2 linked regions of the Pelodiscus sinensis genome follow. The protein of the gene in region 2 purifies or fractionates together with the protein of the main gene of each other region. This does not show direct contact. Links are inferred from orthologs where the notes say so. Each region holds a gene or a part of one and is shown on either strand. Other genes may lie near its edges.

Region 1 (7,790 bases), on a different chromosome or scaffold from region 2:
TGTAGATGTACAGATGTGTGGTCACTACCATTGGTCTTTATGTTTTCTAGAGCAGTGATTCTCAAACTTTTTGGCCCGTGGTCCACCCCATGCACAAGACAAACCTTTCTGTGGACCACCAATTACTAATGGAAACTCGCCATTAAATTACACCTGAGCCATTTTGCTAGTGCTGCAGCTAGGGAGAATGGTTTAATTTAACCAGTAAGAAAGGGAGTATTAATCGAAATTATTGAACAGATTAAATGCTTTAAGTTTCTAATGTTTAGTTTACCAAATTTCATTTTAAATAACACAAAAGGTTTCAACATTGTCTTTATTTATGGCAGGGAACCTTTTTGGGGTCAGGTGCCACTGACCCACAGGAAAAAAAAAATCAGTCAGGGACCACAAGTGAAAAGCAAAAAACAAAAACAAAAAACCCCCACAATCTCCAACACCCACTGATGTGTCCCCCAAGTGAGACACCTCACTCTCCTGACATTTCAGTCCCTCAGGGGGCTGAGGAGGAGGGAAGACAGAAAAGAATGAGGTTCAAGGCTTCCCATAGACCAGTTTACCTTTTCTTTGGTGTTCTGAGGTTGGTGGATTTTGTGGACCTCCCTCTCCCAAGGCTCTGGGGTGGGACCACAAATGAGGGGTTCAGTGTGCGGGACAGGGCAGCCAGCAAATAGAATAGGAATGGAGGTGTGAGATGTGGGTGGGGTGAGGATGCAAGGTCTGGGGTGGAGGTAGGGTACAGGAGCAAGCTGTGAGTAGGATTTCTGACCAGGAAGAGGGGGCAGAAGGAAGGGTACGTGCAGAGCCTGACCAGGAGGAAGGGTGCAGGAGTAGCGCGGGGGAGTGCATGAGGATAATGGAGATGCCCCTACTGGATGTGAGGGGAAGGAGAGCACTTAATCAGCCTTTGAATCCCCTTTCCCCGCACTCCCAGCTGCAGTCTCCCGCTTCTCCCATTAGCCAGATTCTAGCCAATGGGAGCAGAGAAGAAAGCCTCTAAGACAGCATGTCCCTGCACTGGTGTTTCCCCAGCTGTGGGAGGGGGAGCACGCAGAGGCACTTCAAGCTCTGCTTCTTCCCTATGAACCAGATCCGATGGGGAGGCTGGGGCTGTCTCCCTTCTCCCAGCAGGAAGCTGGCACTCCAACTTTGGGGGTGCCGGTGCAAGGCTGAATCGCCAGGGCAGACTCCCCACTGCAGTGGAGGTTAAGTTCAAACTACAGCCCACCTCAAAGCAGCCATAGACCACCAGTGGTCTGCTGACTGTGTAGAGGCTCTAAATCTGAAGCAGGTAGCAGATACTGTTGCCAGCAGAGTTGAACTCAAAGCGGTATAATACAGTGTTTCTAAATTCACTTTAAATAAAATTTTAGGCTACATTACTGACCTCCTTCTTGAATTGTTGCAGAAATCTCAGTAGAAATCATACCAGTGCCAATACAGACAAAAACTAGGGCTACCCAATATTACCTTGTTAATGCTTCCAAAAATTGCACTAGCCCTCTTAGGCTATATCTTGACTGCAAAGAAAAGTTGGAAAAAGATATGCAAATTGTGACTCACAATGTGTGTATCTTTTTCCGCTTTTCTTTCAGAAGAGGCTTTTCCAAAATTTGGCCTGTCCATACGGAGCCAAATTTTGGAAAAATCTCCTCTTTCAACACATCCCTTCTTCCTCATATAATGAGGATTACAGGGATGGTGAAAGAATGCAACCGCTTTTTTGGAAATTGTTCAAAAAAAAAAAGAAGCAGACGCGTTCCTCGGATGCGGCATAGCTTTTCTAGGATACGGTATCCCGGAAAAGCTATGCAGTGTAGAGTGTAGACATAGCCTTATCCACAACCAAAGAAAATGTCAAGAACTATACTAAAATTTCAGAACAGAAACCTACAGCTGGGTAAATCTTTTTGCATGTTTTTTGCTTCTTCATGAATGAAAAAGAAGAAAATCTAATTGGCTGGTTAATGAGCACTGCAGTTTTATAGACCCAAACTTGGGAACTATCAACGTACACACAGCCGGACAGGGAAATGTTACAATACTTATTTATTATAATGGGGGGAAATCTTTAACCTGAGCACCTACATAGGGTGAAAGGAGAGGAAGAGGCAGCCTGCTATTTGGAAGCAATTGTGCACAAAACATATAGTTGCAAGCTGAAAAGAACATAAAGTTGAACTATCATTTTCACACAAAATGCTGTTATTCTTTGGCTATACCAAAGACGTTTGCAGCATATTGAGATAACTGGTCGGGGTTTTTTTTTTATAGGATTTGCCAATTTTGTAAGCACTTGTGCATGAACTTTTAAGCCTATCCTTAGGCACCATCTGAAGATAAAGTTAAAGTTAACCATGTGCATGTTTGGACAAGTCCTCGGATAGTGATAATGCCATGCACAGAACTCAGGGGGCCAGGGCTCCAAGCTTTCTTGCAAGACCCCTCTACAAGTTACCAGAGGTTAAACAGCAAGCGTGGGCTCTGCAAGCGCTTAAGAGAGGCCACAGTAGGGTTCACTTGTGTCCGTTAAAGATAAATACGCTGCAATCCCCGCAGCATAGTGGCAATGGCCAGCTCTTACGTTGCCTGCCGCTTTCCGGCTAGAGAGCGGAACGCACTTCCCAAGGGACAGCAGCACCCCGGGAAGCGAGGGGCACACCCGTGGTGGGGGGCAGGCCGAGCCGCCCGGGCAATGTCGCTCCCCCGGTACATTTCGCAGGTGTCTCTCACCGGCGCCCCCTGCGCCGAGGCTCCCACGCTGCGCTCGGCGCTGCACAACTGACGCCCGCGCGGCTGACTCCGCCCCCGCCCTCCTCCACCGGGCCCCGCGCCGCTCACGCGCCGGTACCTTCCTACTGGCCATCGCCCCCTGTGCTGCCACAGCCGCTCCCTTGCCACGTGACAGAGATGCCCGGGGGGGGGGGGGGGGAGCGCACTGACTCCAGTTCCCCGTTTCTCGGGCGGGGTCTGCACCCTTCCTGCCACGCCCCCTCCTTTCCAGTTTGGCGCCCGCGGCACAGCAGCTTCTGATTGGCTAGGCGTGCGGGAATACGCGTGACGTGGCGCGGGGGGGACATTCGTTTATCGTATTCCGCAGAGCAAGTCCGCTGTGGAACTTGTGCGTCCGCTCCCCCTTAGTATGCGCACGCGCAGGATGGGTGCGTGAGAGTTGGCGAAGGGCTGGGATCTGCTCGCCTTTGCGGAGCTGGGAGCCTGGGGAGGGGCAGAGGCGTGAGGAGGGCGGCAGAGGGCGCCTGTACCTGTCTCGCGCACTTCTCAGCCCTTGTGCCTGCTGCCCCCTAGAGGCCGCGCGTGGGACTGGGTCCAGCTGGTCACTGGGCCTTTCAAGGGCTTGGTGACAGCAGGATGGGCAATAATTTTTTTTACCTGGCCCACTTCAGACATTTTTTAAGTAGCCCCAGGCCACATGGGAAGGGTCGGGGCCCGGATATGTCCCTGCTTCCCCAGCCACAGACCATGAGAGAGTTCTGCTCCCTTCCCTCCTCCCCAACCTCAGGCCAAGCAAGGGCTTGGGGGAGCACAGGAAGTCTGCTCCTGCCCTGCCAGAAGCCCGTGGTGCTTCCAGCCACCATGCACGCCTTGCAGGGTGGGGGCAGGGTACAGGAAACTTTGCCTGCTTCCCTTATCCCTAGGCCCTGATTGATGGGGCAGGGGCAGCGCACAAAGTCTCCTCCTACCCTGCCTGGAGCACATGGCACTTTTAAGTATCACACGCTCCTTGCAGGGCAGAGGAAATTTCCTGTGCTCCCCCTGCCCCTAGGCTATAATTGGCTTGGGGGCAGAGGAGTGGCAGGGCCACCGCAGGCTGGATCAACCTGCTTGGTGGGCCATATTTAGCCCGCGGAGGCCCTTTTGTCCACCCCTGAGTTACACAATCTACTGGGCAGCTCAGTTCATTGCTACCTTGCAGTCACCCTCTTCCCTGTGTAGCAGGCAGGCTGCTGTGTAGGGCTGTGACAGCTGCCACAAGATCACCTGGCTCTCTGTGGTTTTACGGGATCGGGGTAAGGATCATCTGTTTTCAAACCAGGTTTTTGTAAAAGGAAGTGGTTCTAGGATTGTAATGGAAGGTATCCATGTGCTCTCACCCGACACATGATAGTAACATTGCATGTCCCATGAGAGATAATTTAAATGCTTGTAACTTGCTCATTAATTACATGCCATAAGAACGGCCATACTGGCTCAGACCAAAGGTCCAGCTAGCCCAGTAGCCTGTCTGCTGACAGTGGCCAGCAGCAGGTGCCCCACAGAGGGTGGACCGAAGACAATGATCAAGTGATTTGTCTCCTGCCATCCTTCTCCAGCCTCTGACAAACAGAGGCCAGGGACACCATTTCTATCCCCTGGCTAATAGCCTTTTATGGACCTAACCTTCATGAAATTATCTAGCTTCCCTTTAAACTCTATTATAGTCCTAGCCTTCAAGCCTCCTATGGCAAGGAGTTCCACAGGTTGACTATATGCTGTGTGAAGAACTTTCTTTTATTAGTTTTAAACCTGCTACCCATTAACTTCATTTTGGTGTCCTCTAGTTCTTCTATTATGGGAACTAATAAATAACTTTTCTTTATTTGCCCTCTCCACACCACTCATGATTTCATATACTTCTATCATATCCCCCCTCAGTCTCCTCTTTTCTAAACTGAAAAGTCCCAAATGCATATCACATGTCAAATTATAAACATAAGCTGAGATCATGATAATAATGTTTTCAGGGATATATGGAAAGTGGCCAAACCAGTTCCTCAGAAATCAAGTGGTAGGTAGCTGATGCCTCAGCCACAGTTGAATAAGGCTGAAGGTCACTATTCATAAAAGTTGCTATTCTTTGACAGGAAAAGTGGCAGTGATCAAACAAAAATATACATCTTAGAAAGAAATAGCATAGAGTTCTCATCCACAGTGATTCTCTGTGCTCCCCGTTGGCAATGCTTTTCAGATGAAAGGATGGAACTATAAAAATCAGGGACAGACTTTCCAACAAACTGCGGATGTAAAGGGGTAACATGCCAGCATACCTTATTGGCATGCTTACCAAGGTAATCAGTTAACCCAGTGGTTCTTAAACATTTTAAGACCAAGAAACACCAAACAATTTTTTTTAATGGGGCACACCATGGATTTTGTATTGATGAAAAAAACGTCAGGGGGAGAAAGAGTTGGGGGGGAAGTTATTGAGAAAAAAAGGTCACCTGCCCCTTTGAGGGTGGCCATTTTTAATTCTGTTGTTCTCCATGGCACATCTCCGACTGCCTCGCGGCACACTGGTATGCTGTGGAACGCAGTTTAAGAAACACTGAGTTAACCAGTGCTGCAGGTATGCCTACTGCACCTTACTGCAGCTGGTGGGCCCTGCCCGACAAAAGCAGCCCTCTGCCCATGGCATGCTATAGTTGGGGGGTTGCTCCAGCAACCCACCACTCTCAGTGCACCATAATAAGCTGGTTAACCAGTTAATATTTTCAAAAGGATTTTACATCCATAAAAGAAGCTCCTCTCACTGCACCTGAATGGACAAAAGAAACAGCCACTGGACTGGAAGAGGGGCACTGACCTAAGAAGTTTGGTCATTAAGTCTGCTGAAAGAATTTGATGAGAAAACTTTACTTTCAATTTAACATAGATAGTTAAGTTAGGCACCTGTTGTGTTTTAGCTTTATTATCCTTGTATAATTATTATATCTGATTTTATGCCTCATTACTTACACTTAAAATCTATATATGTGTAGTTAATAAAACTGTGTGTTTAAATTGAAGTGTCTGGGAGATGGCAAGTTGTATGCATTATTATTCCTTTTAAAGGCCTGATAGACAATATAACTTGTATTGTCCAGGAAATCACAGGACACTACAATAACTGCTGATTAGTCTGACTTGGATCCTATTAAAATTAAACAGAATTGTGACCTGTCTCAAATCCATTTCTCAGTGCAAAAGTGTCCATGTGATCTCAGAGCAACCATTGTCTTAACAAGAACTAATTTGTTGACAGTCTCTGCAAGGAAGCCAAGAATTAAGAAAAGTCATGCCAAATGCATTGTCTAACTCTTGGAGTGATCCCACATTAGGATAAGATTTACTAATAGGATACTATGGGGAATGCTACTACCAGAACTGTGTTTCCTGTAGGTTACATCTAGACTGGCATGATTTTCCGGAAATGCTTTTAATGGAAAAGTTTTCCATTAAAAGCTTTTTCAGAACAGAGTGTCTAAATTGGCACAAACGCTTTTCTTACAGTAGGAAATCAGTGCTTTTGCGGAAATTCAAGCGGCCAGTGTAGACAGCTGGCAAGTTTTTCCGGAAAAGCAGCTGATTTTCCGGAAAAACTGGCCAGTCTAGACACAGCCCCTGAGACAGAGAATTTTAGTAGCAATTAAAGTATGTCTATATGGCAACTGGGGAGGCTGACTGTAGCACACGTAGGCATGCATCAAGTAGCTTTAATAATTCAAAAACAGCCATACAGGCAGTCCCCGACATACGCGGATCCGACTTATGTCGGATCCGCACTTATAAACAGGGCTTTTCTCGCCCCGGAGCTCACGGGCAGCGGGTCGCCACCCGTGTCCTCCGGGGCGAGAAAAGCTTCTCCCGGTCTCCCTGGTCTGCTGGGGGGGGGGGGGGGGTTCAGCAAAGCCGCTGGACCCACCCAGCAGACCAGGGACACCCGAGCAAAGCCGCCGCCTGGGCGGCTTGCTCGTTTGCCCGGGAGCAAAGCCGCCCAAGTGGCGGGACCCCTGCCGCCTGGGCGGCTTTGCTCCTGTCCCCCTGGTCTGCTGGGGGGGTCCAGCAAAGCCGCTGGACCCCCCCCCCCAGCAGACCAGGGGGACAGGAGCAAAGCCGCGGAGCACGCCCGCAGCGGGACAGCCGAAGCGCCTGGGCTGTCCCGCTGCAGGCGTGCTCCAAGGCTTTGCTCTCCGTCTCCCTGGTCTGCAGGGAGACGGGGAGCAAAGCCTTGGAGCACGCCCGCAGCGGGACAGCCGCGGCGCGCCTGGACGACTGTCCCACTGCCCGCGTGCTCTGCGGCTTTGCTCCGCGTCTCCCAGATCAGCAGACCAGGGAGACGGAGCAAAGCCGTGGAGGACTTAGGCGGTCCCGCCACCCCCATCTCCCTGGTCTGCTGGGGGGGGGCGGGGTACAGCTAGTGCCCCCCCCAGCAGACCAGGCTTTTCTTGCCTACCCCTGGAGTAGAGCAGCTGGGGGCTGCCTGGTTGGTCCCGCAGCGCCGCTCTGGACCAACCCAGCAGCACCCCAGCTGCTCTGCCCCAGGCGTCCTGATTCAGCCGCTGCTGGTCAGTTTCAGCAGTGGCTGAATCAGGACATCTGGGGCAGAGCAGCTGGGGTGCTGCTGCGTTGCTCCAGTAGCACCGAGGAGCTGCGCTACTGGAGCAACCCAGCAGCACCCCAGCTGCTCTGCCCCAGGCGTCCCCAAGTCAGCCGCTGCTGAAACTGACCAGCGGCTGACTACAGGAAGCCTGAGGCAGAGTTGCTCTGCCCCAGGCTTCCTGGAATCAGCCTCTGATCAGTTTCAGCAGCAGCTGACTTGGGGACACCTGGGTTTCTTAAGTTGAATCTGTATGCAAGTCAGAACTGGCATCCAGATTCAGCCGCGGTTGAAACTGATCAGTTTCAGCAGCAGCTGACGCCAGTTCCGACTTACATACAGATTCAACTTAAGAACAAACCTACAGTCCCTATCTTGTACGTAACCCGGGGACTGCCTGTACTTGGTCAGACCAATGGTCCATCTAGCCCACTAG
Region 2 (6,889 bases):
TCCAGCATCGGCAGGGGGAGCGGCTCAGGACCGGAGAGCCAGAGGAGGCAGCTAAAGGCTGCTGCAGCTCAGGTGGGAGGGCACCAGCATGTGGTCAGCTGGGCCTGATTCATGGCTCCATTGTCCTCCTGACAGCCCCCCAGCTCGGGGCCAGCTGCAAGAGCTGCCTCTGGAGGCGGGGCGGGGTCCAGGGAGTTAGAACAGGGGAAGGAGAGGCTGGGAGCCTGGTTCCATTTATGGCTCTGGATGGAGAGTGGGGTCTAATGGTCGGAGCAGAGGAAGTGATTGTCACGAGATCAGACAGAAACCCAGTCTCCTCCACTCCTAGCCATGGGAACAGATGGGCTCCCCCTCAGAGCTGGGTGCAGCTAACTGGTCAGGTTCCCCCCACTTCCTTGGAGAGCCAAAACCTGGGAAAATAAGTTTGATTCAGGGCACAGGCTGTGTATTTTTTGTTTGCGCAGCCCCCAGGGTGACGAGGGGGGGGAGGGGGGCCATCTCAGCTGTTCCGTGATCTGACCGGTAACAAACAAATTTGTATTGTTGAAAATTCCTCCGTGTCTGTTTACTGCGGGTGGGACATTAAAGTAGGCCCAGGAGGGGCTGTGCAAAGACAGATTTTCCCCTAAATCACCCAAGGTTCAATCAACAACAGGGCTGAAAAATCCATGCTGGGGAAACAAGAAGTCAGCTCTCCAGTGAATGCTGGGGGCCAGGCACCCAGGAGTCATTTCTCAGCCCCAGCAGCTCTGTCCAGGTCTGAAGCTGCCCCAGAATCCTCCGCACACTCACAGGAGACGGGGGATACTGTCATCTCTCCATCGAGGCCAAATCCCACCCTCCACTCTCGGTCCGGAGCACCAGGCTGGGACAGATGCGCCTTGAATGTCCTGTCACCCGCCCAGTCCTCCTGGCCCAAGGCTGCCGCAGGGTCCGGACACAGCCAGCACCTGGCTGGGAAGTAGCGCTGGAGAATGCTGAGATGCTCCTCAGCCTCTGTTTCCCCGGAGACCCGCATGGAGGCGATGAGCTGGCAGCTGGGGGCAGATCCTTGGGGGTCCATGCCCAGGCGCCCCGTGAAGTATGAAGCTGTGTCCACCAGCAGGGCTGAGAGCCGGGCGACCGCCTGAGGGCCAGGGCAACCGGCGAGGTACTGCTCCAGCCCGTCCAGCAGGATGAGGGCAGGGGGCCCAGGCAGGCTCTGGTGCAGAGAGGCCAACACCCGCAGGAGCTCCGGCAGCGAAGGCGGGTAGAGGAACTGGACATGCTATGGTGGAAGAGGAGGGGGCTAATGGAAGAGGGATTGGGTCTGTCCCAGCCCAGGATCCCCTCCCTCCACACCAATTTGCCCTCTAATCTTTTCCATCCATGTGTGAAATAAATTGTTTAGGTGCACCACCCGCAGAAACAAAAAACCTAACGGGGGGGCTAACCAGCTGGGTGGCGTTTAAATCTCCCCAGCAGCCACACAAGCACCCAGTTCAGAGGGAACGCTGTTCCCGCACAGTCTAGCCTGCTTCAGCCCAGGATCCCCCATCACCAGGCCAACCACAGCCCAGGCCTCCTGCCTCCCCACTGGCCTCTCCCTTCCCCCACCCAGCAACCCATCCCAAACATCCAGCCAGGCCCAGCCCGTCTCATGTCAGCACCACCTCCACACAGCCCCTCCCTGGCTGACTCTTCCTACTCCTCAAGCTCCTCCCCTCCCGTGAAGCCCCGCCCCTTAGGCTCCTCCCCTCCCGTGAAGCCCCGCCCCTTAGGCTCCCACTCTGAATTGCTTTGCTCCATCCTATCAGGTGCTGCTGCCTTCAGCTCCCCCCATTCAGCCTCCCCAGGAGATAAATCCGGGCCCCGCCCCAGGCTTTGCCCCCTTGTGATCTTGGCCCCGCCCCCGGCTCTTGGCCCCGCCCCTCCCAGGCCCTTGGTTCCGTCCCGCCCATCTTAGCCACGCCCCTCAGGCGCCTCTCGTTGGCTCCGCCCCCCGCTCTTGGCTCCGCCCCCTAGCGCTTGGCTCCGCCCCCACCTGCAGGCCGCTCTCCGCGCGCCGGGCCCCCGGCAGACGCTGCAGCGCGCGGGGCGCCAGGAAGAGCGCGCGGGGCCCGGCCAGCGCCGCCCGGAAGAGCAGCGCCGAGCGACCCGAGCGGGCCGGGCCCAGCACCAGGGCCGGGGCCGGGGCCAGGCCGCGCGGAGCCGCGCCGAGCGCCCGCTCGAGCGCCACCGACATCGCCCCGCCCTCGCCTCTGTCCGAGCCAATCCGCAAGGACGCCCCGCCCCGCGCCCGGGTGACAGCCAATGGGCGCATCAGGTACAGCCGCGCCCCTGGCAACTTCCAGCCAATCCGGAATAAGGCCCGCCCACTCAGGGTCCTAGCCAATCCTGGAGCGGCTTCCCCTGGCTCCTCTTTTTCTTACCTTCCAGCCCGTGCGGGAGGAAGGCCCGCCCACTCCCTGAACTAGCCACTCAATTGAGGCGGCCATCTTGGGCCGCGCCCTCCCCGGAGCCAATCGGCGCTCCTCCCTAAGAGCCCCGCCCCCTCCCTAGGGAACGCAGCCCGGGAGCCGCGCCCATCAGCCCACGCCTCACCAATCCGGGAGCGGCGCGCGACGGACCCCGCCCCCTCCGTTCTAGTTCGGAACGCGGGCTCTGCGCCTTCGCATCTCCCCACGTGCCGGGGTCACAGCCCCGCCCCTCCCCTCCCGAATAGGGCCCGCCCCGCCCCCTGCTCTGAGAATTCCCCCCCCCCACCGGGGATAGGACCCAGGAGTCCGGGCCCCGCCCCCCCACCGGGGATAGGACCCAGGGGTGCGCCCCCCCATCTGGCCCCGCTATAGGACCCAGGAGTCCGGTCCCCGCCTCCAGCCCTGCCCTGTGCACGGGAGCCAGCTGACGTGCACTGATGGGGGAGTGGAGAGGGGCATCCATGCAAAGCCTGGCTGCACATCGGTGGCCCCTGCATCCCCAGCTCCCCCCGCCCCACAGTTCAGTCAGTGCCCCTGGATCCTGACCTGCAGCCCCTGCTATCCCAGAGATGCCCCTGGATCCCCGACCCTGAGCTGCCCCGCTCCCCAGAGCTCTACTGACGCCCCTGGATCTTGACCCACGCCCCCTGCTCTCCCAGCGGCTCCCCCCATGCTGGGTCAATGCTCCGCACACCCGGATCATCAGCTCTTCTGTGGTCCCAGCCCTGGCCCCTACCCCTTCCACCTCTGCCAACCCCCTTAATCTCAGCCTGTCCCCCTGTTATCCCACTCTCCTCCCTCCACAGCTCCAGCCACAGACCTCCTCAGTGCTGACCCATAGCCTCCTAGGAAAGGCGTCAGAAAAACATAGTTCACTGTGACATGGAGTCCCTGGGGGATCGCTGGCTATGGGCCCCAAAGGCAATCGAAGGCCATGGGGGACTTGGAGGGGGATTAATTCAAACATTTAGCAGTCACTAAACGGTGGCGTTTTGAGCCGGCTGGTGTTTCCATCTGTCCCTGGCTCTGTGGGGCATCTGCAAGCCTCTCGCCATCTGTCGCCTGCTAGGGAGGAAGGGAGAGGGGCCAGCTCTGGGGGGGTAGGGAGGAGGGCCAGGCTGGCAGGAGTTAATTTGCAGTAGAATTGGGGAGGGGAGGAAAATCTAGGGCAACCCCAGAGAGTGGACACTGGCTGTGATGCCTAAAGAGCCCCCTGGTGTCCTAGCGTTACCACCTGGGGCTACATGAGAGCAGGTGCAGCCCAGCCTGGGGTGAAATATAAAGGAAGCTCGTCCCATGTCCATAGCTGGGGGGCAGAGTGGGATCTCTGAGCAGCAAGGGGTCAAAAGGAAGCCACCCTGAATCCTGGGGTGGATCCCATGCCCCCTTCCCTCCCTCCCCACAGATTTTAAGGGGGGATCCAATTAATGAGATTAGGCTGCGATCACAGCTCAGGGCATCTCAGTTGTTAATTACCAGCTAAGGCACAGAGTGCCTGTGCGTGTGTGTCCATGTGTCAGGAGGATCAGGAGTCAGTGTGATTTCCCAGGCCAGATGCTGGAGAGCAGAGTGAAGTGGCTCTGACCGTAGACTGGGGGTCCCTGATCTCCCCTCCCCACACATGCTCAGATGCCCAGCCTGGGGACTGTTGGGTATAAAATACTACACACCCCTACCCGCAGAGTAATGGATTCAGGACGCAACCCACCTCACATGGACACAGACATGCACCTAGATGGGGTACATAAAGAGTCTGCCATGGGAATATGCCTCACTGAGCATGGGGGGCTACCAAGGGGGCTTTGGTACCCCAACACCCCCCCCAACCTGCCCCAACTTGGACTGCTCTAGAGGCAGCATGAGCCTTTCGCTCTAGGGCAGGGGTTCCCAACCTGGGGTAGGCATACCCCCAGGGGGTACGAGAAGCTTGTCAAGGGGGTATGGGGAATATTTGGTAAATAACTAGGTTATCCTATTTGAAATATTCCAATAGTAGTCGTGTTAGTGAAAAACGTTGTGGATTCTAGAGTCTAGAATTTATTTCCTTTCATATTTCCTAAAAGCCAAGGGGATATGGGGACCGAAAAAGGTTGGGAACCCCTGCTCTAGGGGGACACCAGATCTGACCCCATCCCATGGACTGGTGGGCACAGGGGCTTGCCCTCTGGTTTCCCTAGCCAGCTTTGCTGGAGCTCTGTCACGTTCGGAGGGGAGGGCTTTTAACTCTCATCTCTCCCTGTCTCTGCTGTGAATGTCTGGGAATCCATTGTTAATGGACAGCCAGGGCCTACTGCATCAGCACCCGAACTGGGGGTGTGTGTGGCGTGTGCGTGAGTTGGAATGGGAGAGCTGGAGAGCTGTTTTCGGGGCAGAGAAGTGGGAAATAAAGTACTATAGTTGGGCTGATTAGGGGCAGGAGAGTGGGGGTACAGTGCATTGGGCAGGGGATGGGGTGCAGCTGTACCAGGGTCCCCTGCTTTGGCACATTTCTGGTTGGTGCCTGGCTCCGGGAAGGGCCTCTGGCTGCAGATGGCCGGTGCTGCTGGCACGGGGCTGGCAGGGAGGCTGGGATGGGCAGGCGGCTGGCAGCTGGGTCCTGGCCAGTCTTAGGTGAGCAGGTCGTGAGTGGGGTGCAGCATGGAGCCAGCTCCCTGTACTGACTCGGGGAGTGAATCATCCCAGCACTGGAGCCCCCCTCCCCCTGCTCTTAGCTCCCCCAGCAGCCCCCCCCCCCCCCGAAGGATGCTGGCTGTTCATCTGGTCAAGTGCCATTTTCCAGGCCTCTGTCAGAGCTGCCAATCACCTCCCCTCTCTCTCTCTCTCTCTCTCACACACACACACTCCCTAGCAACTGCGTTGCCTAGCGCCTGCTGCTTTGGTTGCCGGGCAACGCTGAGAACTTTCAGGGTTCCAGTGGGTGGAGAATTTTTAAGGGGGAGGCCAGAAATAGCCCCCCCCCCCCGATGATGTCTCCCCAGACTCGATCCCACCTGCAACCTTTAGTGACGGGGCAGAGGTGGGGCGGTGGATGAGTAGCATCTTCAGTACCTATCGGAGGGGGAGGGACTGGGGTGTTCATTGCCCATCCTCCACCCTGATCTGTGTGTCCCTGGGTTGCTAATGTATCCACCGTTGGTGTTTCTGGGCACTGAGTTTGCCAGGGTGTGCTGGGCCCCATCACAACCTCCCTGCCACACACATACTGTGCACGGCCTGGGGGTGACAAAGGCGGAGTGGGAGCTGGGAGGAGACGGTGCGTGTCCTGGGACCATTGTGGTCAGCTCCTTGCACCTCCTGCATGTCACAGGCCAGAGATCTTCCCCCAGCAATCCCTGCGTGGGCCCATCACCTCTGTGTGATGTGAGAGGGGGCTGTCCTGGAGCAAGGGGTGGCTCTCGAATGGGATGATGCTGGAGCTGGGGGTTTTAGAGCAGTGAGTTCTGGCGTCAGTGGTTTTAGAGATGGGTTACGTTTGGGGTGGTGGGAAGGGTGTGCATGAGGTTTGGGGTTCTGGCACGGGGGGCTCCAGAACATGGCGGTTTTAGAGTTGGGTAGGTCTCGGAGTGGGTTCTAGAATGGGGAACTTCCCAGTGCAGGGGACTGGGCTGGTGTGACGGTGGAGCTGTGAGATCGGGGTTTTCAGTGGAGGGTGATTCTGGAGAAGGAGGTTCTGGAATGGCGGGGCTCTGGAGTAGGCATGCTCTAGAGCTGGGGGTGATGGACTGCGGGGGGCGCTGGAGCCTTTTCCAAGCCTGCTCTGTAGGCTGAACGGTTCCGCTGGGGGACGGGCCAGGACCCTGCTGGAGTAGAGCTCCCAAAAGCGCCAGCTCTGCCCTTTGCGCAAAGATTCAGGCAGGCTCCCTGCCTGCCTCCACTCCACTGCAGAAGCCCAGAGACCGGATCCTACCCTCAACCCCCATGGCACTTCCAGATCTGGGGCTTTGACCCTCTTCCCGGGCCAGGAGGAGCCAGCTGCTCTCCTGGAGGCCCCTCCCAGCAGGCTCCGAATCCCCATGTGCTGGTGGGGTTGTCAGACCCACTCGGAGCAGAGATGGGGGATGACACATGGTCCTCGGAAGGGACGTATCTAACCAGCCCCCCCACCTGCCAGCAGAGAACCGAGAACGGTTCCCTTCCCTGCCCTTATTTACCTACAACCGACGGGCTCTGGGATCCGTTTGCATCAGGTCAGGAGTCAAGTCCCAGCCTCTGACAGCCACCCCCAGACCGGGAGCTCTGGCCACTCATCCTCCCTGGCCACTGACCTGGGCGTCAGAACAGATTATTGTAGCCATCCTGGGTTTGTGGCTCCGGCCAAGCCTGTGGTTTGCCTAGACTGGTAGATGCCTGGACCCCTGGCAGACTGAACCTCTGAGCTCACCTAATCTGACCTTTGGAGACCACAGGCCTGCGAGAACTCCTGTTTGAAC

The links. Proteins that work in one complex are often made in the same cells at the same time.
Region 1: the proteins of SWSAP1 (region 2) and SPIDR purify together in Homo sapiens (co-immunoprecipitation; 3 studies listed by BioGRID and IntAct, with this or other methods). This does not show direct contact. The link is inferred for Pelodiscus sinensis from reciprocal best matches to the Homo sapiens genes SWSAP1 and SPIDR.

Annotation. Positions count from the first base shown.
Region 1 is NC_134712.1:70,338,159-70,345,948, forward strand, and holds the start of SPIDR (DNA repair-scaffolding protein), read right to left. Parts: upstream 3,009-7,790; 5' UTR 2,867-3,008; coding exon 2,852-2,866; intron 1-2,851. UniProt on the Homo sapiens protein: Plays a role in DNA double-strand break (DBS) repair via homologous recombination (HR).
Region 2 is NC_134729.1:12,541,471-12,548,359, reverse strand, and holds SWSAP1 (ATPase SWSAP1), read right to left. Parts: upstream 2,282-6,889; 5' UTR 2,225-2,281; coding exon 2,024-2,224; intron 1,268-2,023; coding exon 728-1,267; 3' UTR 517-727; downstream 1-516. UniProt on the Homo sapiens protein: ATPase which is preferentially stimulated by single-stranded DNA and is involved in homologous recombination repair (HRR). Has a DNA-binding activity which is independent of its ATPase activity.